7 linked regions of the Oryctolagus cuniculus genome follow. The protein of the gene in region 1 interacts with the protein of each later gene in a pairwise test. Links are inferred from orthologs where the notes say so. Each region holds a gene or a part of one and is shown in the gene's direction. Other genes may lie near its edges. The genes, in order: CREB3, TM4SF4, FDPS, ALG3, SFT2D2, TMEM203 and TMEM115.

What was found.
Region 2: the proteins of CREB3 (region 1) and TM4SF4 interact in a two-hybrid assay, tested with the Homo sapiens proteins (2 studies listed by BioGRID and IntAct). The two-hybrid records come from large-scale screens. The link is inferred for Oryctolagus cuniculus from reciprocal best matches to the Homo sapiens genes CREB3 and TM4SF4.
Region 3: the proteins of CREB3 (region 1) and FDPS interact in a two-hybrid assay, tested with the Homo sapiens proteins (2 studies listed by BioGRID and IntAct). The two-hybrid records come from large-scale screens. The link is inferred for Oryctolagus cuniculus from reciprocal best matches to the Homo sapiens genes CREB3 and FDPS.
Region 4: the proteins of CREB3 (region 1) and ALG3 interact in binary tests that used the Homo sapiens proteins (3 or more experiments, as listed by UniProt). The link is inferred for Oryctolagus cuniculus from reciprocal best matches to the Homo sapiens genes CREB3 and ALG3.
Region 5: the proteins of CREB3 (region 1) and SFT2D2 interact in a two-hybrid assay, tested with the Homo sapiens proteins (2 studies listed by BioGRID and IntAct). The two-hybrid records come from large-scale screens. The link is inferred for Oryctolagus cuniculus from reciprocal best matches to the Homo sapiens genes CREB3 and SFT2D2.
Region 6: the proteins of CREB3 (region 1) and TMEM203 interact in a two-hybrid assay, tested with the Homo sapiens proteins (2 studies listed by BioGRID and IntAct). The two-hybrid records come from large-scale screens. The link is inferred for Oryctolagus cuniculus from reciprocal best matches to the Homo sapiens genes CREB3 and TMEM203.
Region 7: the proteins of CREB3 (region 1) and TMEM115 interact in a two-hybrid assay, tested with the Homo sapiens proteins (2 studies listed by BioGRID and IntAct). The two-hybrid records come from large-scale screens. The link is inferred for Oryctolagus cuniculus from reciprocal best matches to the Homo sapiens genes CREB3 and TMEM115.

What each region holds. Positions count from the first base shown.
Region 1 is NC_091432.1:198,639,847-198,643,871, forward strand, and holds the start of CREB3 (cyclic AMP-responsive element-binding protein 3), read left to right. Parts: upstream 1-1,225; coding exon 1,226-1,663; exon of another isoform or gene 1,664-1,667; intron 1,668-1,764; coding exon 1,765-1,902; intron 1,903-1,999; coding exon 2,000-2,147; intron 2,148-2,223; coding exon 2,224-2,291; intron 2,292-2,410; coding exon 2,411-2,500; intron 2,501-4,025. UniProt on the Homo sapiens protein: Endoplasmic reticulum (ER)-bound sequence-specific transcription factor that directly binds DNA and activates transcription. Plays a role in the unfolded protein response (UPR), promoting cell survival versus ER stress-induced apoptotic cell death.
Region 2 is NC_091435.1:131,995,143-131,999,253, reverse strand, and holds the start of TM4SF4 (transmembrane 4 L6 family member 4), read left to right. Parts: upstream 1-1,311; 5' UTR 1,312-1,582; coding exon 1,583-1,756; intron 1,757-2,437; coding exon 2,438-2,527; intron 2,528-4,111. UniProt on the Homo sapiens protein: Regulates the adhesive and proliferative status of intestinal epithelial cells. Can mediate density-dependent cell proliferation.
Region 3 is NC_091438.1:43,239,661-43,243,772, reverse strand, and holds the start of FDPS (farnesyl pyrophosphate synthase), read left to right. Parts: upstream 1-1,312; intron 1,313-1,962; exon of another isoform or gene 1,963-2,072; 5' UTR 2,073-2,109; coding exon 2,110-2,288; intron 2,289-2,364; coding exon 2,365-2,527; intron 2,528-3,619; coding exon 3,620-3,760; intron 3,761-4,112. UniProt on the Homo sapiens protein: Key enzyme in isoprenoid biosynthesis which catalyzes the formation of farnesyl diphosphate (FPP), a precursor for several classes of essential metabolites including sterols, dolichols, carotenoids, and ubiquinones.
Region 4 is NC_091435.1:93,820,390-93,823,218, reverse strand, and holds part of ALG3 (dol-P-Man:Man(5)GlcNAc(2)-PP-Dol alpha-1,3-mannosyltransferase), read left to right. Parts: coding exon 1-36; intron 37-477; coding exon 478-598; intron 599-1,003; coding exon 1,004-1,221; intron 1,222-1,373; coding exon 1,374-1,451; intron 1,452-2,008; coding exon 2,009-2,152; intron 2,153-2,312; coding exon 2,313-2,475; coding exon of another isoform or gene 2,476-2,546; 3' UTR 2,547-2,829. UniProt on the Homo sapiens protein: Dol-P-Man:Man(5)GlcNAc(2)-PP-Dol alpha-1,3-mannosyltransferase that operates in the biosynthetic pathway of dolichol-linked oligosaccharides, the glycan precursors employed in protein asparagine (N)-glycosylation.
Region 5 is NC_091438.1:30,514,871-30,518,956, reverse strand, and holds the start of SFT2D2 (vesicle transport protein SFT2B), read left to right. Parts: upstream 1-1,286; 5' UTR 1,287-1,420; coding exon 1,421-1,483; intron 1,484-4,086. UniProt on the Homo sapiens protein: May be involved in fusion of retrograde transport vesicles derived from an endocytic compartment with the Golgi complex.
Region 6 is NC_091432.1:237,493,020-237,495,653, reverse strand, and holds TMEM203 (transmembrane protein 203), read left to right. Parts: upstream 1-1,158; coding exon 1,159-1,569; 3' UTR 1,570-2,134; downstream 2,135-2,634. Other genes in the region: NDOR1 (NADPH-dependent diflavin oxidoreductase 1), read right to left, coding at 565-593, 753-1,008. UniProt on the Homo sapiens protein: Involved in the regulation of cellular calcium homeotasis. Required for spermatogenesis. Acts as a regulator of STING-mediated inflammatory signaling in macrophages.
Region 7 is NC_091441.1:98,960,911-98,964,999, forward strand, and holds the start of TMEM115 (transmembrane protein 115), read left to right. Parts: upstream 1-1,289; 5' UTR 1,290-1,784; coding exon 1,785-2,635; intron 2,636-4,089. UniProt on the Homo sapiens protein: May play a role in retrograde transport of proteins from the Golgi to the endoplasmic reticulum. May indirectly play a role in protein glycosylation in the Golgi.

The sequences.
Region 1 (4,025 bases):
CCTCCCATCTCATACAGAACACAGTCCAGCAATCCCTGCCCCGTAACTGTGGTGGCCACAGCAACAGCATTGAGCTTAGAGAGGAATCGAGGAAATTCTACCTGAAGTCCAGAACCCCAACCCAAAATGTGTCATCTCTCTGGCTGAAAGAAGCTCCTGTGACTAAATAAAAATGAGGGGACTTCCCTCCCCCCCACTCTCTCTTTCTCTCACACACACACACACACACACACACCAAAGGCATCGATCTATTGCCGACCTCTTAAATGTTATCTGCCCAAGGTCAATATTCCTGGCCTGGGTCTGCCCTTAGTGCCCTAATTTGTTTCCTCATTCTCATAGAATCCCCCTCCTAGCAGAGACCAGCAAGCATCCAATCCTTGATCCCTAAGGCTCAACTAATTTTTACCGTTAGCACCAAATCTGCTGACTTTAACCCAAAATGTTGACCCCTAAGTCTAAATTAGCTCACCTGTAACTTGATTCCTAACTCACCTTTTCACTGTTTATCCTTAAAACTGACCACGACAATATCCTATGATCCTTAAAATGGACTTCTAACCTAATTCCTGTTGTTGACCATTAACCTGACCCTGAACTCTTTTAACTCTGACTTACCTCTGGTCATCCCAGGAAACAAAATAACGACCTCAACCTCAACCTCACTTATTTATAAAACGGATCTAAATCACGCCAATAACTCAAGCGTTAACCCCGGCCTTACACCTCCTAAAGAGACCCTTGATTCCCAAACCCAACCCCACCTAAACCCAGACTCATCCACAGCTCTCCAGCCCAACATCCCCGCTATCAGCAAACACCAAAGCCCATCCCCGCCCTGCGCCCCGCGGCCGCCACACTCCTCACCCTTCCCCAAAACCTATTCCAGGCCAAGGACTGCTCCCGCAGAGGAGCCACCTCCCGCAGATCGGCCTGCCGAGACACCCTGGAAGCTGACGTCTCCCCCAGAACCCGCCATAGACGCGCCGCAGTCAGGGGCCGCGCCCGCCCGCCTCCCGGGCCAGACCTCGCGGCCCCACCCCGAGGTTCCGGCCCGGCCCGCCGCGGCCTACCTGCGCTGCCCGGCTCTGCGCCCCGCCCGCCGGCCCTGCTCGTCCTCCGGGCCCGCTCTCCGGCTCCGGCCTCGCCCTCCCTTCGCCACACTCGGCCACTTCCGTCCCCGGCGCGTCCCCCACCCCCGGGCGGCGCCCTGGGCCCGCGCTCTATGGTTTTGGGGACCTGCAGGAAGCTGCTCTGGCCCCAGCTCTCGATGCTCGCGAGCCCGCCGAAGACTGGCAGCCCCTCCCCGGCAGGAAGCCAGGGCGCGGCGCAATCCGGAGAAAACACCCCAGCGGCGCCCGAGTTCCCTGTTACACTCGGACTCTTCCTTTTTTCTAGCTCGGGGCGAAGGCGGAGGCGAGTCGCCGGTGTCCCCGCCCCCGGGGCGGGGACGTCCCCCTCATTTGCATCGCCCCCGGGACGTGGCGCAGCACCCGAGCCACTTCCGGCTCGGAGGGAACTACAAGTCCCGAGAGGCCGCGGGGCCGCGTGCGTCACTTGTGCTGTGTTGGAGGCCGAGGGCGACGGAGTCCGGCGGGTGGGTGGGTCGGGCTTGACAGCGACTGCCGCCCCGGCAGCGGGGAAGGCCAGCCGAAGAGGAGCGGTGGGTAGGCGGGAGAGACCCGGCGGTTGGGCTGGGGGTCGTGCCTGGGGCTCGCGTATTGGAACCGGGCTGCGAAGTGAACCCTTGAGTTTCTGCCGTAGATGTCGCAGATGGAGCTGGCGTTGGACCCTGGCGATCAGGACCTGCTCGGCTTCCTGCTCGAGCAGAGCGGAGCATGGGGGGAGGCAGCCGATGAGTCGGTGGAGGCGCCCCCGGATTGGGAGCTGCCGCTTTCCGAGGTGGGTGGGTAGGGCTCCGCGTCAGGGAGGCGCGGCACGTCCGCGAGACCCGGGTGTCAGTGACAGGCCAGGGCCTGGGAATTTGAACCCGGTGCAGGTACTGAGCGACTGGGAGGCAGAGGATCTGCTGAGCACCCTGCTGAGTCCCCCGGCGTCGTTGGCCGACCTCAGCTCCTGCGAGCCCTCGCCTGTGCACCACGATCACACTTACTCCCTCCCACAGGAGCATGTCTCCGTGGACGTAGGTGAGTGACATCAGAAAAGTTGGGAGCTAGAGGAGAGGGTCCGTGGGCCCGGCTAGTCACAATTGCCCTTTTGCAGATAGTGGGAGCTATGGGAAGGAGGAGGCTCCGATGACTCCGCTGTATGTGGAGGAGCCAACAGAGCAGGTAGCTGACTTGATTTTCAGGAGGCTTATCCCCACATTGCACGGGGCGGGGCGGGGCGGGAATTCCCATTTCTTTCGGACATCCCCATGCAACTGCTGCCTACTTCCCCGTAACCTCAGGAGGTTGCTAGGCTGGTACTGACCGAGGAGGAGAAGAGGCTACTGGAGAAGGAGGGGCTTACTCTGCCTGGAACGCTTCCTCTCACCAAGGTAAGGCTCCCATTGGTGGGGCAAAGGCTGGAGGGTGTAGGGGAGGGAGAGTGCAGAGAGGCTGGTCGACCTGTACCGGAATGCAGTCAGATAGGAGTCACTTCTAACGTTATGCTTGGTAGCAGCTGCATTTCAAAATAGCTAGCAGAGAGGATATTCAGTTTCTGATTCAAAGAAATGATAAATGTCTGCAGTGATACATGTGCCAGTTACCCTGCCCTACTTATTTTTACATTGTATACATTACTTAAATGTCACTCTGTATCCTATAGATGTGTGTAATATCAGTGTCAAAAATAAGATACACTTAAGAGGTGAACATCTTAGCAGAGTTGTTGGTTAATATGCTAGATGCAAGGGTGGATCCTGGTTTTGTGAGGCTTCTAACACATTTTGGTGTTCTAAGAAAAAAGATTTCAGAATTATCAATGCAACATTAGCGTAGGGCCTTGGGCAGGACTGTGCAAGGGAAGGGCTCTGCCACTTGGAGTTCATCGGCTTGGTGGTAATCTACATCGCGCTGAATGGGAGAATTGTTTTAGGGAGTTCAATGAGGCTGGATTAAGCCTTCTTTTTTTTTTTTTTTTTTTTTTTGACAGGCAGAATGGACAGTGAAAGAGAGAGACAGAGAGAAAGGTCTTCCTTTTGCTGTTGGTTCACCCTCCAATGGCTGCTGGGGCTGGTGCACTGCGCTGATCTGAAGCCAGGAGCCAGGTGCTTCTCCTGGTCTCCCATGGGGTGCAGGGCCCAAGCACTTGGGCCAGCCTCCACTGCAGAGAGCTGCAGGCCATAGCAGAGAGCTGGCCTGGAAGAGGGGCAACCGGGACAGAATCCGGCGCCCCGACTGGGACTAGAACCCGGCGTGCCGGCGCCGCAAGGTGGAGGATTAGCCTAGTGAGCCACGGCGCCGGCCTGGACTAAGCCTTCTAACAGTACAAATGTAGAAGCATAAGTTTTAAGTTTCAACACTGGGTGGTGACTTCACAAGCACAGTATTGTGACCCTGTAATAAAATAAGTACTTATTAAAGAAATTTTAACTTCTTAAAAGTACAAGATGAGTCAGCAGTGAGATATGGCAAAGCAAGTGGGATGTGGAAGCAGCGTCAATACATGCATTGTCTCTAAAAAGGCAAGACTGTCTTGCTGTCTTTTGTACAAATCACAGTGCATTTTAAGTGCCCAGTTTTGGGCCTGTATCTTTGACAGATACCAAGAGGATGCAGTGATGGTGAAATGTTGGGTTAAGAAGTCTGTCCAGGGTTTTTTTGTGTGTGTGTTTTTTTAAACTCTGAGGAAATGCCAACAGCCTTAAAACAGCTATGTAGAATTTTGTTCTACACGACCCCAGAGATAAGTTCAATGGATAGAAATTACATGGAGGCAGATGTTAATTCAGGGTAAGAAATTTTTCAGTGAATGAAATTGTTAAAAATGCTCTGGCACCTGTGATCTTAACACCTGGTCTTTAGAGGCATTCTGATGGAAACCAAAATGGCTACTGGTTAGGGAGGCTAGACAAGGGA
Region 2 (4,111 bases), on another chromosome or scaffold:
GGCTCTCCTTCGAAGTTACTCACGTACCACACCTTAAAATCCAGGAGGAAGTCTGAAGCAGGGCCCCCTGTATCTTTTATTTCTTTCATCTGTTCACTCACTGTAGATCAACAACTCCAGTCGCTAGTCTGAAAAGTCTAGGGCTTCCTGGCTGTGTTGACCAGTGCTGATCCAATGCCACACTTCTAGAAGCACAAGACACAGTCCATGGAGAAAGAAAAAAAACCCAGACCCTGAAGGGGAGCAGACTTGCTCCAAGGTGGCACCAGCATTTGACTAATGCAACTTTTAGAAGCCTGGAACATTTTTCTTCTTTGCTGTTATTACTCCCAAAGCGCTTTGTCAAAAGCTGATGGGTTATAAATAAAGGCTACTGCCCACCTGTCTGGGTGTTGGGAAATAACCGGCTGCAGAGGGTCTCCTGGTGATCATGATGCACCTTGCTTTTTGTTCAACTAAAACTGGGCTCCCTAAGCAATTTTACCTGTTGCTCTCAGTTCCGACCTCCAAGCTCTCAAGGAAAAGCTGGCAAGGCTTCTTGCTCCACCCCTGATCCTTCTACTGTTACGTAAGCCCAGTACCAGGCAGGGTCATCGCGCACTGTGGATCTTAGTCTAGGCGTGGCACAGACTTTCTCTGATGACACAAAGCAACTGTATCGCACCCCTGGCAGTTGACAGAATTCCCAACAGGGGTGCGTTGCACCGCCTCCCACGCTTTGTCCTCTCTGCTTCCAGTTGAAACACAGATAATTCTCTCCGTCTCCTCTGCCCTGTGGAACTTCCTTTCCCCTTAGCCTTTGTGAACCCAGTGGTTTCCATTCCTCCATGTAAGATGTAGCTACGCGAGCTGAGTAGGAAAACCGCTTTAGCTAATTCCATCTCACCTGGTGGGAGACATCGTACACACTTGAGTAACCAGTAGAGAAACACAATGAAATAAAATAATTTCCATAGGCAATTAGACCATCAAATTATTTTCATGTTGAAGAAAACAGACCGCTCTTTGGCTTAACCTCACATCCCAGGTTCTCCGCGGAAAAGACCAAGCACACGCACTACAGACCATTAAGTTCTTGGGAGACAGAATCTTAACCAGGATGTAACTCAGTTATGAGGGTCATTTGTGAAGACCCCGGGGGGAAATATTTCTTTAACTGGGCAGGGGCATTGTCAGATTAGAGGGGCAGGGCTTTTAAGCGCTGTCCGTGCCAGCCCCGTCTTCGATCGCAGCAATGTGAGTGTCTTGTCGGTGCTGGTAGATTATTAACAGAGGTTATTGGTCTCCATGGCAAAACGATTGACTGATTGCACTGAGCATAATCTCATTTATGGGGGTGCAGGGAAAAAAGGGACGTCAAGCTGCGGAGAATTATAAATGTCCATCACCACTGAGGTTCTGCCATACTTGAGCGGCTGAAGTGACTCCAAGGACACAGCTCACAGGGATTTGGTTCTCGGTCCCAAAATACTGAGTGCACCGGGGACAATTACTGGGGCACTCCAGCCAAAACCCTTGAAGAGGCCCCGGGCAGGAGGCAGCCAGGAGTCCGTTGCTGCTGAGCAGTGCTGGGCCTCTCAGCATGTGCACAGGGAGCTGTGCCAAGTGCCTGGGGGGCACCCTCATCCCCCTGGCCGTGCTTGGCTTGCTGGCTAACATCCTGCTGTTTTTCCCGGGAGGGAGAGTGGCGGACAACAACGACCACATTACCACGGAGGTCTGGTATTTCGGAGGAATATGTGGAAACGGGATCTTGGTGAGTAGGGAAAAGCCTTACAGTCTGCCTACCTGGGCTCCCCCTCCGTTCTATCCTAAGTGCAGTCCTTACCGAACAGAGACGCAGTTCTGGGTTAACGAAAGCCCGAGCAATGCGTGCTGAGCAGGCAGTGCATAGTTGATGTCCTCGCTCTGTTAGACTGACAAGGACAGTCCACTGGGTCTACTGACTAATCCCCTGGCTTGGGCTGGCGGTCCTCATGGGACATTCAAGTCCTGTGAACCAAATCGATGGCTGCAAAAAAAAAAAAAAAGAATGCTTTCTAGAGACTTGATTGGCATAAACTACCAAGAGATGCAGGCGTCAATGGAGTCTTCCTCCATTGGTGAAAGATTTCTTTATCCCTGGTTTCCAGCAGAATTGGGAAGCTCTGGTGGGACGGGAGCTTTTCCTGTCCATTGAGGAACAGCTCCTCGGTCGTGTGCTAACCCACCACCTAAATAAAAACTCGGGGTGCCAGACCTGAAAGCTTGCCGTGTTGAAGCTGAAGGCAGTCGGGTCGAATGGAACCTTAGCTCCCATTAACGCTCCTTCTGCCCAGCCAGCCATGCCTGGCTGGCGTTTGCCGCCCAGCCCCTGGGAGCCTGCAAGCCCCCCTGACCAGGGACGGGGCTCCTGACGCAGCCAGACCTCCCTCTGAGACTTTTCTCTTGCTGGCAGATGATCTTCCCTGCGCTGGTGTTCTTGGGCTTGAAGAACAATGACTGCTGTGGGTGCTGCGGCAACCAGAGCTGTGGGAAGCGGTTCGCGGTGAGTTCCTGCGGCAGCCAAGAGGGTGCGCTGTGTCTCCCAGGATGGGCAGCCTGGGGCAGGGGCAAGTGAGCCCACCCCCGCCAGGACTCTGGGGGCCAGCTGGGGCGGGGAGAAACCTGGGAGTCTTGCTGTTGGTACAAAATAACAACAATGATACATCTGTATAGGAGGCAACCTTCAAACTGGTAGGGGATGACACCTCTGTTACCAGGAGGCAGGGTAGTCGGAGCTGGGGAACCAGAGTGGTGCCATTTAAAGGAAGTAGGCTTGGAAGGTGCGGGTGGGGGATGTAGCTCTCCCCCTGCCACGGACAGGCCACGGAGTCTTGGACAAGGCATTGCCTTTCTCTGGCCCTGCCTTGTTTCAACTGTAAAGAGAATTTGAGACAGGGTAAAAGATGGCACATTCCCCCTCCCCCAACAGCTCCCCAGTCCCCCACCTAAGCCACTGCCGGGTCCACTATCTCTGTGCCCAGCAGTTCCCGGCTCCACCCAGGTTCTGCCTCCGGACCTCGGTTTCCTCTCTTGCTTTGTGTGGCCCTCCATCTGTTAGCTGGAGAGCTGGAGAGATCAGGCAGGTATCAGCCTCTGGGAAGGGGAGACGATGCTGGGACCCGGGGTTGGGTCCCCTTCTTGCAGCTGGGCAAGTCCCTGCGCTGTTCTGCCTCCCTTCACGCCTCTGAAAACGGAGGAAGTGGAACTAGATCAGAATTTCCCACATTTGGGGCCAGTCCCGGTGGTAGGTATCCGGATGCGCTTTATCTTTGAACAGCAAAGAATGTTTTCAATTCTTTTTCAATCCATGTAGTTCTAGTAAGGAAAAAAAAAAAAAAAAAAAACATTTTGATGGCGCTCAGTCTTTATTATTTCAGACCCTTTCTAATCGCCCTGTAGAACAAAGGAAGTACAAGTCTCAGGCTCCAGGAACACAAGCAACATTAACTAAAATTCAATAATGTGTGCTTGTGTCCGCTAATGAGGCTAGTTCTCATTTATAATAGTGATATAAATGAATAAGATACAGAGTTACTTGCAGAAAAAAGCACTGAGTTTAGGTATATCGATGTGGGGGAAATGAAGAAGGAAAAACTAGAATTACAGGCTGGATGATGAGTAAGGCCAGGTTTTCCTCTAATCTCCACGGTTCAATTCCATCTAAGAGACTTGTGAACCCCAGCAGTAAACTGTACACACTCACTTCAACTTCTTAAAGGGAAAGATGTTTCAATCCTTCTGAAACAGAATCGTCTGAACGTTTCTTTCTCATCATTATCTGCTCATTTATTCAATTAAATATTTATTGGAGGGCAAAGACTGGTGCATTGTGCATATATGTGGGTACTTCCAAAAGTTCATGAAAAATCAGATTAAAAGGTAAGTTTATTTTGGTGTAAAAATGATTTAATTCGTGTACAGTTTTTTTATAGTACTTATTTTCCATGAACTTTTAAAAGACCCTTTGTACTAGTTTTCCATTTGAGATCGAAGATCATTCAGACAATGTATTCAACCTTCTAACCACTGTCATGGGTCTCAAAAAAGTATTGATAATTATTCCTTTAACATCTAAAATAATTATTTT
Region 3 (4,112 bases), on another chromosome or scaffold:
GGAATATATATATATATACACACACATATATATATGATGTATTATGATGTATTCATTTATTTGAACATTAGAGAGAGAGAGAGAATCTTCCATCCACTGGTTCACTCCCCAAATGGCCTCATATTGCTGGGCCAAGTGGAAGCCAAGAGCTTCTTCAGGTCCCCCATGTGGATGGCAGGGACCCAAGAACTTGCGCCATCTTCCACTGCTTCCCCAGGTCATTAGCAGGGCGTCGAGTGGGAGGTGGTGCAGCCAGGACTCGAACTGGCATCCATGTGGGATGCCAGCGCTACAGGCAGCGGCTTAACCCACAGAGCCACAGTGCCCCACGTCCTGTTACTGAGCTGTGGGGATTTAGGAGGGTTAATGGAGGAAGAGCCAAAGTGGTCAAGCCAGGCATGTATGGTTGAGGGGCCTCGTTATAGTCTCACTTATAGTTATAAAATTCAGCATTTTATATTCATTGCCTCTTGATTTTGTCCTGATGCAACTGATGAAGAAAGCCAAGAAATCAATTGGACCGAGGGTCACAGCTATTAAGTGATTTCCCTGAGTTGGAGAACTAATTAATGTCAAAGTTGACCCTTTTTGTAAAAAAAAAATTATTTATTTGAAAGGCAGAGCTACAAAGGAAGAGGGAGAGAGAGAGAGAGAGAGAGAGAGAGAGAGAGAGAGAATGAATCTTCCAACCGCTGGTTCACTCCCCAGATGGCCTCAATGGCAGGAGCTGGGCCCATCAGGAGCCAGGAGCTTCTTCCAGGTCTCTCACATGTGTGCAGGGGCCCAAGGACTTGGGCCATCTTCTACTGCTTTCCCAGGTCATAGCAGGGAGCTGGAGCGGAGGCTTTGTCGCCGAGTCGGCCCCCAGTTATACCAACCTGCCACGCCGCTGTGCAGGAATATAACGAAAATGGGAGCGGAGAGTAAGGCAACAGCCAGGAGGCAGAGCGGGGGCGTGGGCAGCTGGTTAGCCGCCAGCACTGCCCCCGCCCCCGCCCGGGGGCCTGCGTCCGCTAGGCTGACAGCCCTTGCACAGCCCTTTCATTGGTCATCCGCCACAGAACCCATGCTCATACGAGGGCAAGCACCCAATCAGCGATGCTCGTCTCCGCCCAGCCGGCCCACGCTAGATCGCGCTGTTTCTGTCCCCCCCGTGGCACGCCGGGAGTTGTAGTCTAATGTCGCGTCTCTGCCGGCGAAGGAGGGAGATTCGGAACTACTCCACCCAAAGGGCTGAGCGCGGATCGTGTTCGGCTTTTAGGAGTAAGCCGCCAACAATCTGGCTCAAGCAAGAACCCGCATCCAGGAACAGGTGAGAGAGGTCGCGTGCTGGGACTGGAGGCGGAGGTCCGAGACCCGGCCTTACTTCTCTAGGGATGCTGTGGGGCACGGGAAGCCCAGTCTGTTGTGCTGGGGTCGGTGGCTCAGCCAGCCGGCCCTCTGGCTGTGCGGAAACTCCCGAACTTCGCCCATGTGTTTTCCTGACACTGCCCACCATGTCGGACCTGGGTTTACTCCTGCTGCGAGCCCTCCCCGCCCGCCCAGAGTTGCTCCGAGGCCATCTGCCCAAATCCCAGCGCCTCCTGCGAGGCTCGGGATGCCCCGTGCTCGCGCTCCACCGCTTGTGTCCGCAGCACCCATGGGGCGTAACTCAGAGCCTGGGCACCCCGCTTCATCGTCTGTCTAGGAAGAGCTGGCTTCTAGATTTGGCAGTGCTTCTGCCCAGCTGCCCTCTTAGCTCCTAGGCCCCCCAGTTTGGCTTCTGTGTGATTTAGGGATCCTCTTAACCCTAGTCCTGGGGTGCCGCGCTCTGCACCCACTCCTTCTCCAGCCTCGTGCACGCAGCCTTCGATTCTAACCTTACTCCTAAGTGGCTATCTGTTGGGTCCCAGTCACCAGCCCTACTTTTTGTTCCCTGAAATATCCTTTCTGTAGTTATTCCCAACTTTTGCCCCCAAGGGGGCGGGGCGTTGTGGGCCAAGAAGTTTAAAAGGTTGGTGGGGGTCTTCCAGGAGCTGCGACCAAGCAGCTGCCTTCGACCAAGCAGCTGCCTTCGGTGCTTGCCCCTGCAGGGAGTGCTCGGTGCCCCCACCCCATGCCACTCCCACGATGCCCTTGTCCCGCTGGCTGAGATCTGTGGGGCTCCTCCTGCTGCCAGCTCCCTGCTGGGTGCCCCGGGAGAGGTTGCTGGGTTCCCTACGGAGGCCCTCTCTGGTGCACGGGTACCCGGTCCTGGGGGCCTGGCACAGTGCCCGATGCTGGTGCCAAGCGAGGACAGAGGAGCCCCGGTGAGTGTGGTTGGGGTGAGGGGTCTTGGGGAGGGGAGCACCGGTCGGGTCTCTGACTTGTTCTTCCCTTCTTCAGAGCACTTTGCTCCTCTCTCATAATGAACGGAGACCAGAAGCCAGATGCTTACGCCCAAGAGAAGCAGGACTTCATCCAGCACTTCTCGCAGATCGTCAGGGTGCTGACCGAGGAGGAGATGGGGCACCCGGAGACGGGCGACGCTATTGCCCGTCTTAAGGAGGTGAGGGAGGCGTGACTGGAGCACGTGAGCCACTGGGCACCCTGCCCTTGTGTGTGGGCTACAGCTGTGGCTTTTGGTTCTGGACAGAGAAAGGAGGAGGCTTTTTAGGGGTGGCTTTGGGCAGGGCTGTGTGGGGTGCCTGTTTCAACCTGACTTCTGGCTGTGGGAGGGGATGGGCCACCCACACTGCTCTGCGTGGAACCGGGTAAGGCTGTGGTTCAGTGTCCTGGAGTCGGAAGGGGACAGCCAGGGGAGGAAGGCGGGCTGGGGGGTCCTGTCTCCCCTAACCCGGAACCCCCCCCCCCCCAGGGTGATTGCTGTGATGCTGAAGTTGCCTAATCGTTTGCTTTTGTTCCTTTGGAGTGTCTAGTAAAATTCTTTCTCTAAGCGTTGTCTGTCTCGTCTCTGAGGGGACCCGAGGGAAGGCGGGGAGGGCTCTGTCCGCGTGGAGATGGGGATTGAAGGGGACGTCGGCTCCGGGGCAGAGCAGAAGGCAAAGTGAGACCCAAGCACTGGGCAAGGCGATGCAGCCAGAGTGCGCCTGGGCACGAGGGGACCCGGCCGCTGTGCCCATGACTTGGGGGAAGGCAGGGGAGCAGCTCCCTGGAGGAGGAGGTGGGGTTAGGGAGGAGAAAGGTAGGTGGGAAATGGATCTCCAACCTGGGTCCCCTCCAACGCCTCCTCTGGCCAACTTTGGGGGGCCTTGTCTTTCGTAGGGAGGGAGGCTTTCACTGCAGGTGGGCTGAACTCTGGGTAGCAGGTGTAGGGCAGAGTGGTGAAGGGGAGGTCCAGGGACGTGGGGATGGGGCAGGGACCTGAGAAGGAGGCCTGAACAAAATGCGTGCTGAGCATCTCCTGAGTTCAAACCCCGTTTAGGGTTGGGGAGCAGCATTGAATCCACTATGGAGCCTGGGCACTGGCTGTCTCCAGGACTTCAGGGAAGGAGCCAAGGGAATAGCAATTCCAGGGGCTCCCTGGAGGAGGCGCTGGGGAGGCTACAGGAAGGGGGCACTGGAGAATGGGGGAAGGCAGGGAGAACCTCAGTTGGTGTCGTGTGGACTCTGACGCCCTGTCCCTCCCCCTCGTTGCCAGGTCCTGGAGTACAATGCCATTGGCGGCAAGTACAACCGGGGTTTGACGGTGCTGGTGGCCTTCCGGGAGCTGGTGGAGCCACGGAAGCAGGACGCTGAGAGTCTCCAGCGGGCCCTGACCGTGGGCTGGTGTGTGGAACTGGTGAGAGGGGCTTCCGAGAGGAGGGCGCAGGGGCCTCGTGTCTGTGCTTCTGTGCCTCTCGTGTGCTGGTGCCAGTTTTACCTAGGGGATCACTCCCGGGGTTAACAAGCGGGGGCACCCTCCTTGGTCATCAGCTGTATAAATAAGTGCAGGTAGACGAGAACCTGGCCTCCAAACCTGCCAGAGAGGCCTCAGCTCTGTGCTCGGAGCAGGAGACCTGCACTGCGTTCCTGAATGCCAGGCCTTTGGGGAGTGAACCACTGGGGAGTTCTGTCTGTCTCAGAAAATCTGTACGTGCTTGTAAAATCTGTTGGGTCACTCCCCAAATGGCTGTAACAGTTGAGGCTGGGCC
Region 4 (2,829 bases), on another chromosome or scaffold:
GGCACAGCGCTGGGGCTGGGGCTGCTGCTGCTTCAGGTCAGCACCCCTCACTTCTGGCATCTCTAGCTCGCTCTTCCCAGTTTCCTGCAGCAGAGGGAGTTATGGAGTGGCCAGAAAACAATGTGGGTTACTCAGGGCCCCCAGGGCAAGTCCAGGCTCTGTGGGGCGTGTCCACCATCACACCACACGTGCCCTCTTCCCTGCCTCTCTCCCCATTGTTGGAGTTGGTCTTGGCATGTTCTAAATACCCAGTACATGTTTACGCAGTCTGGGAGTAGAGCTAGGTGTCTACCCCTACCCCGACCTCTTCCCAAATGACCTTGCCCTCCCTCCAGCAGTTCTGAATGTGGGCCCCATCCTGGAGCTTGCTGGCCTGGAGGAAAAAGTTGCTGTGGAGCCAATAGGGAACTGGGTGTTTGGGTGGGAGGCATGGCCCTAGGGCTGACCTCTCCCCTTCCTCTTCCCTGCCCGCCCCAGCCTGGCAGTCTCTGTGAAGATGAACATACTGCTCTTCGCCCCTGGGTTACTGTTCCTCCTCCTCACCCAGTTTGGCTTCCGTGGGGCCCTCCCCAAGCTGGGCATCTGTGCTGTCCTCCAGGTACCTCACCCTGCCCTTTTCCAGTGAAGGGGAAGCCACCTGTCTGGCCTCCTTTGACCCCTGGAACTTCCTCAAAGCCAAGGGATGGGGTTTTGGAGTTGATTCTGAACTTGGCTGGGCTGCGGCTGTCTCTGGGCTTTCATCTCAGTAGCTATCAAACAAGGATGTTGAACTGGGTGGTCCCTGAGAGATTTGGCTCTGCCCATTATGACTTGGTGAATCGAAACTTTAAAGCATAGTGATTCTCTGCCTCCTTGGCTTCTTTGGCCCCCGCACTGGCTGGGGGTGGCTTCCTGCTATTCCTGGTGAGAATGAGGGAAACTCTAGGGCCTCCATCCCACTCCTGCACCCCTCAGTGGTTCGCATGATGCGTGGGGTGAACCTTGGCAGCTCTGCCCACATCAGACCCATCCTCAGGTGGTGCTGGGGCTGCCCTTCCTGCTGAAGAACCCCATTGGCTACCTATCCCGTTCCTTTGACCTGGGCCGTCAGTTCCTCTTCCGCTGGACAGTGAACTGGCGCTTCCTCCCTGAGGCCCTCTTCCTGCATCGGGCCTTCCACCTGGCCCTGCTGGCCGCCCACCTCTCCCTGCTTTTGCTGTTTGCTCTCTGCAGGTGGCACAGGTAAGAAAGGGAGTGGCATGGCAGAGTTGGGGGAAGGAGTGAAGGGCCCTGGACTTAGGGCTGCTTTGGGGGAGAGGTCAAGCTCATGGGGGCGAGTCTAGAGTTTGGCCCACAGTGGGGACCTGATGAATATCTACATGGCTTCTCCCCAGGTCGGGGGAAAGTATCCTGTCACTGCTGAAGGATCCCTCCAAAAGGAAGGTCCCGCCCCAGCCCCTCACCCCCAATCATATCCTTTCAATCACTGGAAGGTAAGTCTTCCCATCTGCAGTGGCAGACGGAGCTCCAGTCTTCAGGCCCGGATGGCTGCTGACCTGAGACAGGTACCGGGAGCCCATTCGTAGCGTCCCTGCTCTGTACCAGTCGCTGAGCTGAGCAGTTCACATATTGAAGTTTATTCTCAATTCTAAACAGTAAGCCCCCAGTATGAGTGCTCACATGCTGTCCTAAGAGATCCGTGTGCATTCTGACACTCCCTGAGGTAGGGATGTACTGTCACCACTCTCATTTACAGATGGCAAAATTAAGGGGTTAAAAATTAGGGAACTTAACAAGATCACACAGCTAGTAAGGGACTCACTCATTAGGCTTTACAGCCTTGGCTGTTACTGGCTCCAGGTTAGACTAAAGAACAGATCCAGAGAGGTGAAGAAACTCGCCCAAAGGTGTGAATCTGGGAATGGCTGAGCGAGGGGGACTTTTGATCCTAAAACTTTTCCCCTATGTTTTGGGAACCCTCGACTCCTCCCTTTTCTGCTCCTGCCCTTGGCCTTGACCATCAAATACAGATCGTTTCTATCCTTTTCACCTCCAACTTCATTGGCATCTGCTTCAGCCGCTCCCTCCACTACCAGTTCTATGTCTGGTATTTCCATACACTGCCCTACCTCCTGTGGGCCACACCTGCACGCTGGCTCACACACCTGCTCAGGTACTGGCTGGGACACCTGGGGGTGGGGGAGGGGCGAGGGAGTTCCTTGTGCCAAGGCTGCAACCATGGAGGTGCTGGGGGACGGACGCATGTAGGGCACGAGGAGCAGGACTACAGGCCTTGACACTGGACAAAACCCAGAGCCTCTTCTCATCTCTAGGCTGCTGGTGCTGGGGCTCATCGAGCTCTCCTGGAACACGTACCCATCCACGTCCTGCAGCTCTGCTGCCCTGCACGCGTGCCATGCCGTCATCCTGCTGCAGCTGTGGCTGGGCCCGCAGCCTTTCCCCAAGAACGTCCAGCAGGACAAGAAAGGCCACTGAAACCCGCCCCGTCCTCCTCCAGTCCACTCCCAGGACCCCGGGTGGGTTGGACTCAGTGCCCTTGGGAATAAACCTTGCCAAGTCCACCTCTCTGCAGCTTACATGGAGGCAGGGGCAGCCGGTGTGTGGACACAGTGGTGAGGTATGTACAGGGCAGATAAAGAACTCACTCTGGAAGTCCTAAGAGGCACTTTATTGCATAGGAATTAGGAACTGTGGGTCTCTCCCCTTCCACTGTGCTGCACAGAGCTCAGAGCACACAGCCAAAGGGTTTGGGGTGGGAAGAGTGGGAGAGAGCACCGGCAGGCACTTCTTGGGGCACAAGGATTCTGGGGAGGGAATGAGAAGCAGTGG
Region 5 (4,086 bases), on another chromosome or scaffold:
GGTTGTACCATTTGACTGACTTGGGTATGGTTTTGTGCAAATCCCTTTGCTTAATTATTATTAAATTCTAAGAGATCCAACTTCTTGGTAACATTAGAATTCCTACTTAGTTCCTCAGCATTGTTGTGAGTATTAGGAGCAGATGCTGTAACCGATCTTCCAGTGGGTGCTCCTGAAAATCTATGCATGTTCCTGGCTGATTCAATCTCAGAGTAGGTTTCCCAGGCCTTATCCAGCTACCAGTTTGCCACCTGAGTCCATGATTTGCCTTTGATCTTGCCTAGGGGATAACACATGGATTCTCCAAAACCAAGCATTAGCACTGGAGTCTGGTGGGAGGTCAGTAAAACAAATCATTTAACAAACAGAACAGTCTAATATTGCTTCCGGGTCCACCAAGGTCTAACACGTGCCTCGAGATCACCCACCTTGATGCATTTCCAGGTGGAAATACAGCAGTGTTGCTGCTTCTCTTTCTTAAGATTTATATATTTATGGGAGGCCGGCACCGTGGCTCAGTAGGCTAATCCTCCGCCTGTGGCGCCAACACACCGTGTTCTAGTCCCGGTAGGGGCGCCAGATTCTGTCCAGGTTGCTCCTCTTCCAGGCCAGCTCTCTGCTATGGCCCGGGAGTGCAGTGGACGATGGCCCAAGTCCTCCCCGGCGGCCATTGGAGGGTGAACCAACGGCAAAGGAAGACCTTTCTCTCTGTCTCTCTCTCTCTCTGTCTACTCTGCCTGTCAACAGCAAAGGAAGACCTTTCTCTCTGTCTCTCTCTCTCTCACTGTCCACTCTGCCTGTCAAAAAAAAAAAAATTAAATATTTATTGGAAAGGCAGAGTTACGGAGAGCACGATGAATTTTCCACCTGCTGGTTCACTCCCCAAATGGCCACTGTGGCCAGGGCCGGGCCAGGATGAAGCCAGGAACTCCATCCAGGTCTCCCATAGGGGTGCAGGGCCCATTTTACACTGCCTTAATGATAATGCCAGGCGCATTATCAGGGAGCTGGAAAGCAGTGGGGCAGCCCGGACTCCAACTAGGGCTCCTATGGGATGCAGGGGGAGTTGCAGCGGGCTCAGCTACTCTTCTTTGCCATCTCTACAAAGCTTGTTGGATGGCGTTCACTCCAGTTAGCCTCGCCCGATTTTTTTTTAAATCTCTTCCCTGTCAGTACACTCACAGGGTGCATCAGCCAGGGCACCCGTTCCCAAGTGCGCACGAGGCCGCACCTCCTCCGGTCCGCAGAGCCAGGGGCGGCCGCGCGGGGCACGCCGGGGCCGGCCAGGTGGGCAGGTACCTGGGCGGGGCGTGCCGTGGTTGGCGGCGGGGCGAGGGGCGGCGGCCGCCGCGGCCCAGACCCGGAAGAGCCGTCGGCTCGGCGAGCGCAACAGGCTGCTTGCCGAGGGACCAGCCCCGCGATGGACAAGCTGAAGAAGGTGCTGAGCGGGCAGGACACCGAGGACCGCAGCGGTCTGTCCGAGGTGGGTATGCCCGGGCCGGCCGCACCTCGCCGGCCCCCGACTGTCCCCAGCCGATGGCCGTGCCCCCGGCCCGGGCCTCCGAAGTCGGCGCCGGCGGATGCGGGCGGGAAAGCCGGGCAGGACTTCCAGGGTTCCTTGGAAAGCAGCTCTGCCCCTGTTGCTTCCTCCCCGCTACCCCACTGCGGGCCTCCGCTAGGACCCCCGACCCAGGGGACGGGAGCGCAGGAGCTTTTTAGCACGGGGCTTGTCGCCCTCTGTGTCCTGTTTTGTTCTGCGCCCGGTCAGCCTTCTCAGCTTCATTTCCCGTAAAGAGGGGGCGGCGCTGGAGGGAGAGCTCGGAAGAGTCTGCGAGAGCGAGCGAGCTGGCGTGCAGGCCCTGGGCTGGGGGCGCTGAGCCGAGGCGGAGAGAGCCGTGGCCCGGAAGGTGGCTGGTCCGGGCTGGCGGGGCTGAGGCTTCCCGGTTCGCTGCCCCGCGCCCGCCTCGGCTGCACAACTGGCTCCACGAGCAAACCGCGAACTCCCGGGGGACAGGGGCCAACCCCCATCCCCTATGCCTCTCTGTTCACGCCGTCTGCGCCTAGGCTCTGCCCGCGCCTTTGTTTATTTTTGATGGAGCAGAGAAACGCGGTCGCTAATGCCCGGAGCTCTAGAACCGCACAGCATCGTGTTTCTGTTTTGAGTGCTTTTTATAGCTTTGGTTTTCGTTTGGCGTTCTGGATGGCAGACAGCGTTTTCCTCTGCTGTTTGGTGCATTCCGTAGTCTCACTTTTCCCACCTGTGAAGTTAAGGACGTTGTGCAAGATGATGCACCTGCTTTCGGCTGGGAACTCGAGTTTTCGCTGTAGCTTGAGTCTGTTTTCTCAGCACGCCGCTTTCCCGCTTGGGGGATTGCTGATTTTATAATGCGTGTTGTTTTGTATGTTGCTAGTACCTCCACTCCCTCCGTGAAATCTCAGTGTAAAATCTGTTCTTTGAATCTTTGCTTTGAAGGGGTGAACACTCTAAGAGTCAAGGGTTAGCAAAAATTGAAGTTTGACTGTTTTTTTTTTTTTTTTAAAGATTTTTATTTACTTATTTGAGAGGTAGAGTTACTGAGAGAGAGAGAGAGAGAGAGAGAGAGAGAGAGAGGTCCTCTGTCCGCTGGTTCACTCCCCAGATAGCCACAACAGCTGGAGCTGAGCTGATCTGAAGCCAGGAGCTTCCTCTGGGTCTCCCACTTAGGTGCAGGGGCCCAAGCACTTGGTCCATCCTACACTGTTTTCCCAGGCCATAGCAGAAAGCTGGATCCAAAGAGGAGCAGCCAAAACTTGACCCAACACCCATATGGGATCCCAGCAATGCAGGCGGAGGCTTAGCCCACTACGCCACAGCGCCAGCCCCAAAGTTTAAAAACAGTTTATTTATTTGAAAGGCAGGGAGAGAGAGAGAGAGAGATCTTCCATCTGTTGGTTCATTCCCCAAGTGTCAGCAACAGTTAGGGTGGGCCGGGCTGAAGCCAGGAGCCTGGAACTCCATCTGGATCTTCCCGTGGGTGGCAGAACCCAAGTACTTGGGCAATCATATGCCATCTTCCCAGGGTGTGCATCACAGGAAGCTGGATGGGAACCAGGCAGGACTCAATCTCAGGCCCTCCAGTGTGGGATGTGGGCATCCCCAGCCTGATGTGCTTGGGATGACGTGTTCACTGGTTTGGCTTTTCTGACATTGCAACACAGCTCTGTTGGTTTTAAAAAATTTATGACCTTTATTAATTGGCCAAAGCTCAGGAGTGATTTGATGGGTTCTTTTTTCTTGATTTCTGGTCTCTTGTGAAGAAAGGTCTGACACTCAGGAAGTTGATCCTTATTGTTCCTGAAAGCCTTGTGGCCCCACTGACTGCCCCCAAACTCTTAGGAGCTGTGGGTACTCAAGAGGGAGACCCTTGGGGCACGCATTGTGGCCCCCAGCATTCTGTATCTGAAGGCTGGTTCAAGTCTTGGCTGCTCCGCTTCTGATCCGTTCTTCCTGCTAATGCAACTGGGAAAGCAGCAGAAGATGGCCCGAGTAACTGGGTCCTTGTCACCCATGTGGGAGACCTGGCTGGAGTTCCAAGCTGGGCCCAGCCCTGGTTGTTGTGGGCATTAGGGGAGTGAACCAGTGGATGAAAGATCTCTCTCTCTCTCTCTCTCGTCTGCCTTTCCAATAGTTCAGTAAATCTTAGAAAAAGAGGGTGACCCTTTCTCCTCCTGAAGACTCTTGGGGGTGATGTGGATATTATGCATTAGAAAGTCTTCGTGAGGCAGTGGACGGGCCCTCAGAAGTGCAGTTGGGAAACATAAATGCTGTTTGTTTTTCCCCTGAAGTGGTGGATGCCGTGGAGGGCTTTAATGTGTTGTCAGTGCACACATGTATTAAATCTATTTTACAAAGAGTGGATGCCCCTCTCTCGTTCTGAAATACGAGTCCCTCTGAGTGAGATTCATTTTGTGTGCTTCTTGTGTTTCCTCGGAAACATCTTGTAGCCGGCAGACGTGTTTTCAGGGCTGTCTTGGCTTAGTTTTTACTGCCTAGGCTAGGTCCTCCTTGAAAATGCCGGCACTGATGCAGTGGTGTCGCGTTTTCAT
Region 6 (2,634 bases), about 39 Mb from region 1:
AGCGGCCCTCCGCGCTGCCCCTCTGCTCCTCCCACCACCGCCCTGCAAGGGCGCCTCAGCCCCTGCGTGCCCACCGCCCCTTCTGTGGGTGAGCAGAAGGCCTGGACCTGACAGCTGTCGCCCCACGGCTTCCGGCCCACCTGCCTGACCGCCGCTGCCCGGCCACTCTGCACTGGGCCTGGCTTCCTGCCGCCCCTCCCTGCAGCGCCAAGCACCCTCCTCCCGGGCCTGGCGCCCCGCTCGCTGCAGGACCAGAGGCTCTGCTCGCACCCCGCGGCTGGCCCCCCTAGCATCTGGCACCTTCCCCAGCCGCGGGCACTTCCGGCGCCGACTGGACCGCCCAGCACGCTCGCTGCTTCTGCTCCCGGGAGCCCCGGCCCCAGCCCGTGCCCAGGCTGCACCGAGACCTAAAGGCCCTTCCCCGGGAGCCACAGGAGACCAGACCAGCCTGTCCGCGAGCGGTGAACACGGAGGGCGAGGCTTCTCCGACAGCACCGGCGGAGAGCCACTGACTACCGCCGGTGTCTCTCCAAGTGCGGGGCGGAGCCCCCGGGCCAGCCTTACCTTCATGTTGTCCGGGGGGTCTCCCTGGCCTGCAGTTGCACAAACAAATACCACCAGGCGCTCGTTGATCAGGTTCACCTCAAGAGAAGACACGCAGGTAAGACCTCGTGCGGGGACACCGCACCGAGGGCGCCCCCTGCGAGCACCCCCGCGGCCCGGCCCCCTCCCCGCGCCCCCGGAGCGCTCACCACCGCGTAGGAGTCCAGCGCCTGCACGCGGCAGCCGAGCCTCCGGCGCCGGGCCTCGCGGCCCAGCCTCTCCGCCACATCCTGGGCCGTGCCCGTCTGGCTGCCGAACAGCACCAGCAGCTGCGGGCTCGGCATCGCGGCTCCCCCGGGGGGCGGTCCCCGCCACCAGGTGCACCGCCGGCGCCCGCCGCGAGGCGACTTCCGCTTTCCGCCGCCCACCGGAAGTGACGCACTTGGGCCGCGCCCGGCGGGGCATGGCGTCCGAGCGCCGCGGGCGTCGGCGGGCGGCCGGTGCGGGGTTCCGGGCGGCGGCCGGCGGCGGCGGCGGCGCGGCCGCTCGCTGCCTCGCGCTCGCGGCGGTTGCGGGGGCGGCGGGCGAGGCCCCGGGCCGCGCGCGGCCGGCGCCATGCTCTTCTCGCTGCGGGAGCTGGTGCAGTGGCTGGGCTTCGCGCCCTTCGAGAGCTTCGTGCACCTGCTGGCCCTGCTGGTGTTCTCCGTGCTGCTGGCGCTGCGCGCCGACGGCCTGGCGCCCGGCCTGTCCTGGTGGAACGTGTTCGTGCCGCTGTTCGCCGCCGACGGGCTGAGCGCCTACTTCACCACCATCGTGTCCGTGCGCCTCTTCCAGGACGGGGAGAAGCGGCTGGCCGTGCTGCGCCTCTTCTGGGTGCTCACGGTGCTAAGCCTCAAGTTCGTCTTTGAGATGCTGCTGTGCCAGAAGCTGGTGGAGCAGACCCGGGAGCTGTGGTTCGGCCTCATCGCGTCGCCCGTCTTCATCCTGCTGCAGCTGCTCATGATCCGCGCCTGTCGGGTCAACTAGCCCCGCGGCGGGGGTGCGTGCCCGGGCCTGTGGGGCGGCCAGCCCCGCGCCGGGGGTGCGGGACCCCGAGCCCGGGGCGTGGGCCAGCCGGGGCCCCACCTCCGCCCGCTGCACCAGAGACAGCGCCTGCTCCTGCCCAGCCGAGCGGCCACTTTGCTGCCCAGAAGTCGTGGCTGACATTGCTTCTCCCGTTAGCTCGGGGCCTGCACAGCAGCTGCCCCGCTGGACTCAGGGACTTCCTGGCCCGGCTGTGCTGACCCAAGAGCTCCAGTCGCACCGTGCTGTCCAGGCTGTGTGAGATGGTGGATCTCCTGCCTGATGTCCTTTCTCCATCCCGGCCACCACGCAGGGCCTGAAGGACGTCAGACCGCGTCCGCTGTCAGCTGGGAGCATCGCTCTGCCATGGGGTTGGCCGAGAGGAACAGGTGCCCGGTGCCCTGAGGATTGAGACCTGCAGGTGGGAAGCGGGGTGGCCGGCTCTGTCGGCCGCGGTCTTTGGTCTGACGCCAGTTGGGTGCCAAGTGGGAACATCTGCGATAAAAATAAAAGAGAATCTTTCCGGAAAGGCGCGGGTTTTCTGTGCGTCCTGAAGACGGGCCCCTGCGTGGGTCTCACGGCGGGGCTTGGGGTGGACCTGGAGGGGAGGCGAGCGGGGGCGCCCAGGTGAGGGCACCTGCCATGTGTGGCTCTGCAGGGCCGGGGGCAAAGCTGCCCTGAACCCTGGTTTCCCGCCACTCGTGAGCTGGGGAGGCTTCCACGTTTAGAAGGGTTCGGGATGAAGGGTGTGTGACGGTGGCCGCGGCCCGAGTGGCAGGGCAGCACCCGGCACCTCGGCCGACGGGGCCTGGCCGTCCTCCGAGGACGGGTGCTGGCCTGAGGCTGTAGGGCGTCCAGCAGTGTCCACGGCCTCTAGGGCTCGGGACCGCTTTTCCCAGAGCAGGTGTGCTGACCCTGCTGTGACAGCCTGTCCAGCCTGTGGGCCTGTGTCCCCTTGCCTGAGGGGTGCCGGTCCTGTAGGCTCGCTACCGCACTGCCCTGCACTTGGGAGACCCCTGGCCGGGTCAG
Region 7 (4,089 bases), on another chromosome or scaffold:
TATTGTTGATATTTGAGCGCCCTATAGTTTGGTTTTCTAAGTCTGGCCATCCTAGCTGGCCGTGGCAGCCACCAGCAGCCTGTGCGATGCAGGCGGCTCTGTGCACTGAGCCCAGTGGCTGAAAAGAAGGGATTTACACTTTATACGATAAAGTACTTTAAAATTTTTTTTTTATTTATAGAGTTACAGAGAGAGGGAGAGACAGAGGTCGGTCTTCCATCTGCTGGTTCACTCCCCAAATGGCCACAACGGCCGGAGCTGTGCCAGACCAAAGCCAGGAGCCAGGAGCTGCTTCCCTGTCTCCCATGTGGGTTCAGGGGCCCAAGCACGTGGGCCATCCTCCACTGCTTTCCCAGGCATATTAGTAGGGAGCTGACTGGAAGTGGAGCAGCCTGGACTCGAACTGGCGCCCATATAAGATGCCGGCAGCGTCAGAGACAGCTGCTTAACCCACTGAATATCAACGCTGGGCCCAAAAGTACTGTTATGTTCTAATTACACATTTTTAAAAACTGAGACGTATATCTACCATAGGATACAAACTGTCAGGAGCCCCTGTGACGTGAGTAGGGGGCCCAGGCTTGTAGGGGAGCCTCTGGTGGGGAGCAGAGTCTGGAGGGCAGCCCAGCCTCACCTCTTCGGGAGCGGGAGTCCTGGGTTCACTTCAGGGTCCACCTTCCTTGTGTCCAGGGCAGCGTGAGCCACACACACGCTAAGCAGCCAGGTAGACTGGCATTTTACACTCCTGTTCCCTTTTATCCTTAGGGTAGAAAGGTTCTGCCACCATCTGCATTTTACAGCCCATGACCTCGAGTTTCAAAAAGGTTCTGGAACTCGGGCACTGTCACACAGCCGCCAAATAGCAGCGCAAGGATTCCAGCCTGGGTCCAAGCCCATCGACCAGACCGCGGAGGTTCCAATAGTCCCCACACATTGGTTCACACACCTGCTCACAAGGACAGGTGTGCATACACAAACGGAGCTACTTTTCCCGGACAATTCAGCAAGTGTGTGGCCTGAGGCGGTGCTGCCTCCGAACCTGCCTCACCGCTATCCGAGGTTGGCAATACTCCATCACCCACCCCACCCTACCCCTGCCACTTTCCAATAACCAGCGGAAATGGTCTTCAGAACTACAACTCCCAGCATACGCTCTCATCACCGACGGGGATGGTGCGCGCGTACAGCCTCCTGGGACTTGTAGTTCCACCAGGAACCCCGTTCCGCTCGTCCCCGGCGGCGGCCAAGGACTCAGTATCCCAGCATGCCGAGGAGCCGGAAGGCAGGCGCGGAGGGCATCCCGCCGCCGCCGGGGGCGCGCAGGCGCGGCACCCCTGTTTGTTGGCCCCTGAGAAGGAGGAGGTACGGTCGAAGCCAAGACCGAGGCCGAGCCGGAGCTGACCCGGCTTGACTCGGGCCCAGAGCAAGGCGTCAGCCCTGCGCGGACTAAAGGACTCCGGAGTGGATGGAGAAGGCGCAGTCCTGAGATCAACGCTAGCCCGGCTGGCCTGGCGCGCGGCCTACAGGGCAGGCAGGCAGGCAGGCGCGCCGAAGCCGCCCGGGGCCTTCCCGCAGGTCCTGGGCGAGGGGCCTAGGCTCCGGCCCGGCGACAAGGCCCGGTTCGGCCCCTGGGCACCACAGCCCTCTCCGACCGGAAGCAGGTCCTTCACCAGGGACACAGACCAGTGACTAGGCCGGACCCGGGCCTCCCGTCGGGGCCGGGCTAGGGCGAGCCCCGGGGAGGCCCCCAGCCCCGTTCCTGCAGGCCGCCGCCCGCCGGGAAGATGCAGCGCGCCCTGCCTGGCGCTCGCCAGCACCTGGGGGCCGTCCTGGCCAGCGCCAGCGTGGTGGTGAAGGCGCTGTGCGCCGCGGTGCTCTTCCTCTACCTGCTCTCCTTCGCCGTGGACACGCGCTGCCTGGCGGTCACCCCGGGCTACCTCTTTCCGCCCAACTTCTGGATTTGGACCCTGGCCACCCACGGGCTGATGGAGCAGCACGTGTGGGACGTGGCCATCAGCCTGGCCACAGTGGTGGTGGCCGGGCGCTTGCTGGAGCCCCTCTGGGGTGCCTTGGAGCTGCTCATCTTCTTCTTAGTGGTGAACGTGTCTGTGGGGCTGCTGGGGGCCTTCGCCTACCTCCTCACCTACATGGCTTCCTTCAACTTGTTCTACCTGTTCACCATCCGCATCCACGGCGCGCTGGGCTTCCTGGGTGGTGTCCTGGTGGCACTCAAGCAAACCATGGGGGACTGTGTGGTCCTGCGAGTGCCCCAGGTGCGTGTCAGTGTGGTGCCCATGCTGCTGCTGGCGCTGCTGCTGCTGCTGCGGCTGGCCACGCTGCTCCAGAGCCCGGCCCTGGCTTCCTACGGCTTCGGCCTGCTCTCCAGCTGGGTGTACCTGCGTTTCTACCAGCGTCATAGTCGGGGCCGAGGGGACATGGCCGACCACTTCGCGTTTGCCACCTTCTTCCCCGAGATCCTGCAGCCCGTGGTGGGGCTGCTGGCGGACGTGGTGCACGGCCTCCTGGTGAAAGTCAGGGTCTGCCAGAAGACGGTAAAGCGCTACGACGTGGGCGCCCCGTCCTCCATCACCATCAGCCTCCCGGGCACAGACCCGCAGGACGCCGAGCGGAGAAGGTACCGTGACAGCTTCCCCCCACCTTGCCAGGCTAGGAGGGCGCTGCGCGAGTCACCTGCCAGCTGAGTGCCGGGCCGAGGCCGGTGTCGGGGCAGCCGATCGGAGAGAGAGCCGGTCTTTGGGGTTGAGGACATCAGCATGTGGGTGGCTGGGCTCCGGCAGGTGCTGTGCGAGTCTAAGGCAGGGAGACTCGGAGTCCTCCACGTGGGCGCGCTGGGAGCCACAGCCAGCCTCCCGGGCCTGCACCCTGAGAGGGAGGGTCAGGGAAGGAGGCCTCGGGTCCCTAAGAGCTGGCCTGGGCCAGCCCAGTCCCCGGGTGCTGACCTGCAGCCTCTCCCTGGCCCCTGACCCGGACTCTGCTTCGCCAGCCTGGGGTATCGCCAACTCTCCCCCCCCCCCCTCGGCAGGCTGTGCTGCTCAGCCCGGGGACAGGCCACCTGACCCCCTCGGGAGCCCGCTGCCCGCACCAGGGCTGAAACCCCCTTTTCCTCAGGTGCAAACCAAGTCCCGCCGGGTGACCCGCTGGCTTTCTGATTCAGCTCTCCCCAGGGCGTCATCAGCGCCGCGTCACTGGGAGGCAATTGCTTGAGTGGTGCAGCCAGGGCAGGCCTTGTGCCGGTGCAATGTCAGGGGCTCCCCGTCTCCCCCTGTCAGGTGGGGTCTGGCAGGAAGCTCTGTGAGCAGAGCTGAAGAGTTGGCCCTGCCCTCTCTCACCTGGCGCCGTGCGCTTCCAGCCAGGCACGGGCCAGAGTACTGTGAGCCCAGCCGGTGGGCGCTGGAAATACACCTGGCACGCCGGGCCCAGCTCTGGGCCGTGCAGCGTGGGTCGCTGTGGGCGACAAGGCCTCTAGACAGCCGTCCGGCTCAGCTTCTCCAGTGGGGATGGGCCCAGGACACTGGGCCTGCTGGGAGGGGAGCTGCCCTCAGAGCTCTAAAGGGGGGCCGGGCCAGGCGGCCCTCCTCCAGGGAGAGACCTTGGGTTACCAGGATCGCTGGACACCAGAAAGCAGACAGGAGGCGGGGGGGCAGGGTCAAGGTGGGCTCTGAGCCCAGCCTTTTGGTCGGCTGACGTGGGGTGGGGGTTACTCCCACCAGAGCGCTGCCAGTAGGGGGAAGCAGGGTTCCGTCCTCTTCCACCCTGTGAGGAAGCGACTGCCGGCAGGCCTCAGCCCGGCACGGGCACCTGGGATGGAGCCTAGGTAGCACAGGGAGGGCGCCCTGCCTGTGCCAGGCCTGGCCTGCTGGGAGCTTTGGTTCTCCGCTGGAGCCTGGAAGGCTGCACAGGCTGTCCCTGCGTGGGCAGCAGTCCAGGGCGGGGGATTACTGCCTGGGGGGCCTTCCCGCCTCCCCCCACAGTGGGCCTGGCCTGGGCCCTGCCCATGTGGACTGCACCGAGCTCTGCTCTAACACAGGTCTTGGTGGTCTTGGGGATTCTGGGAAGGATGACGTCTGT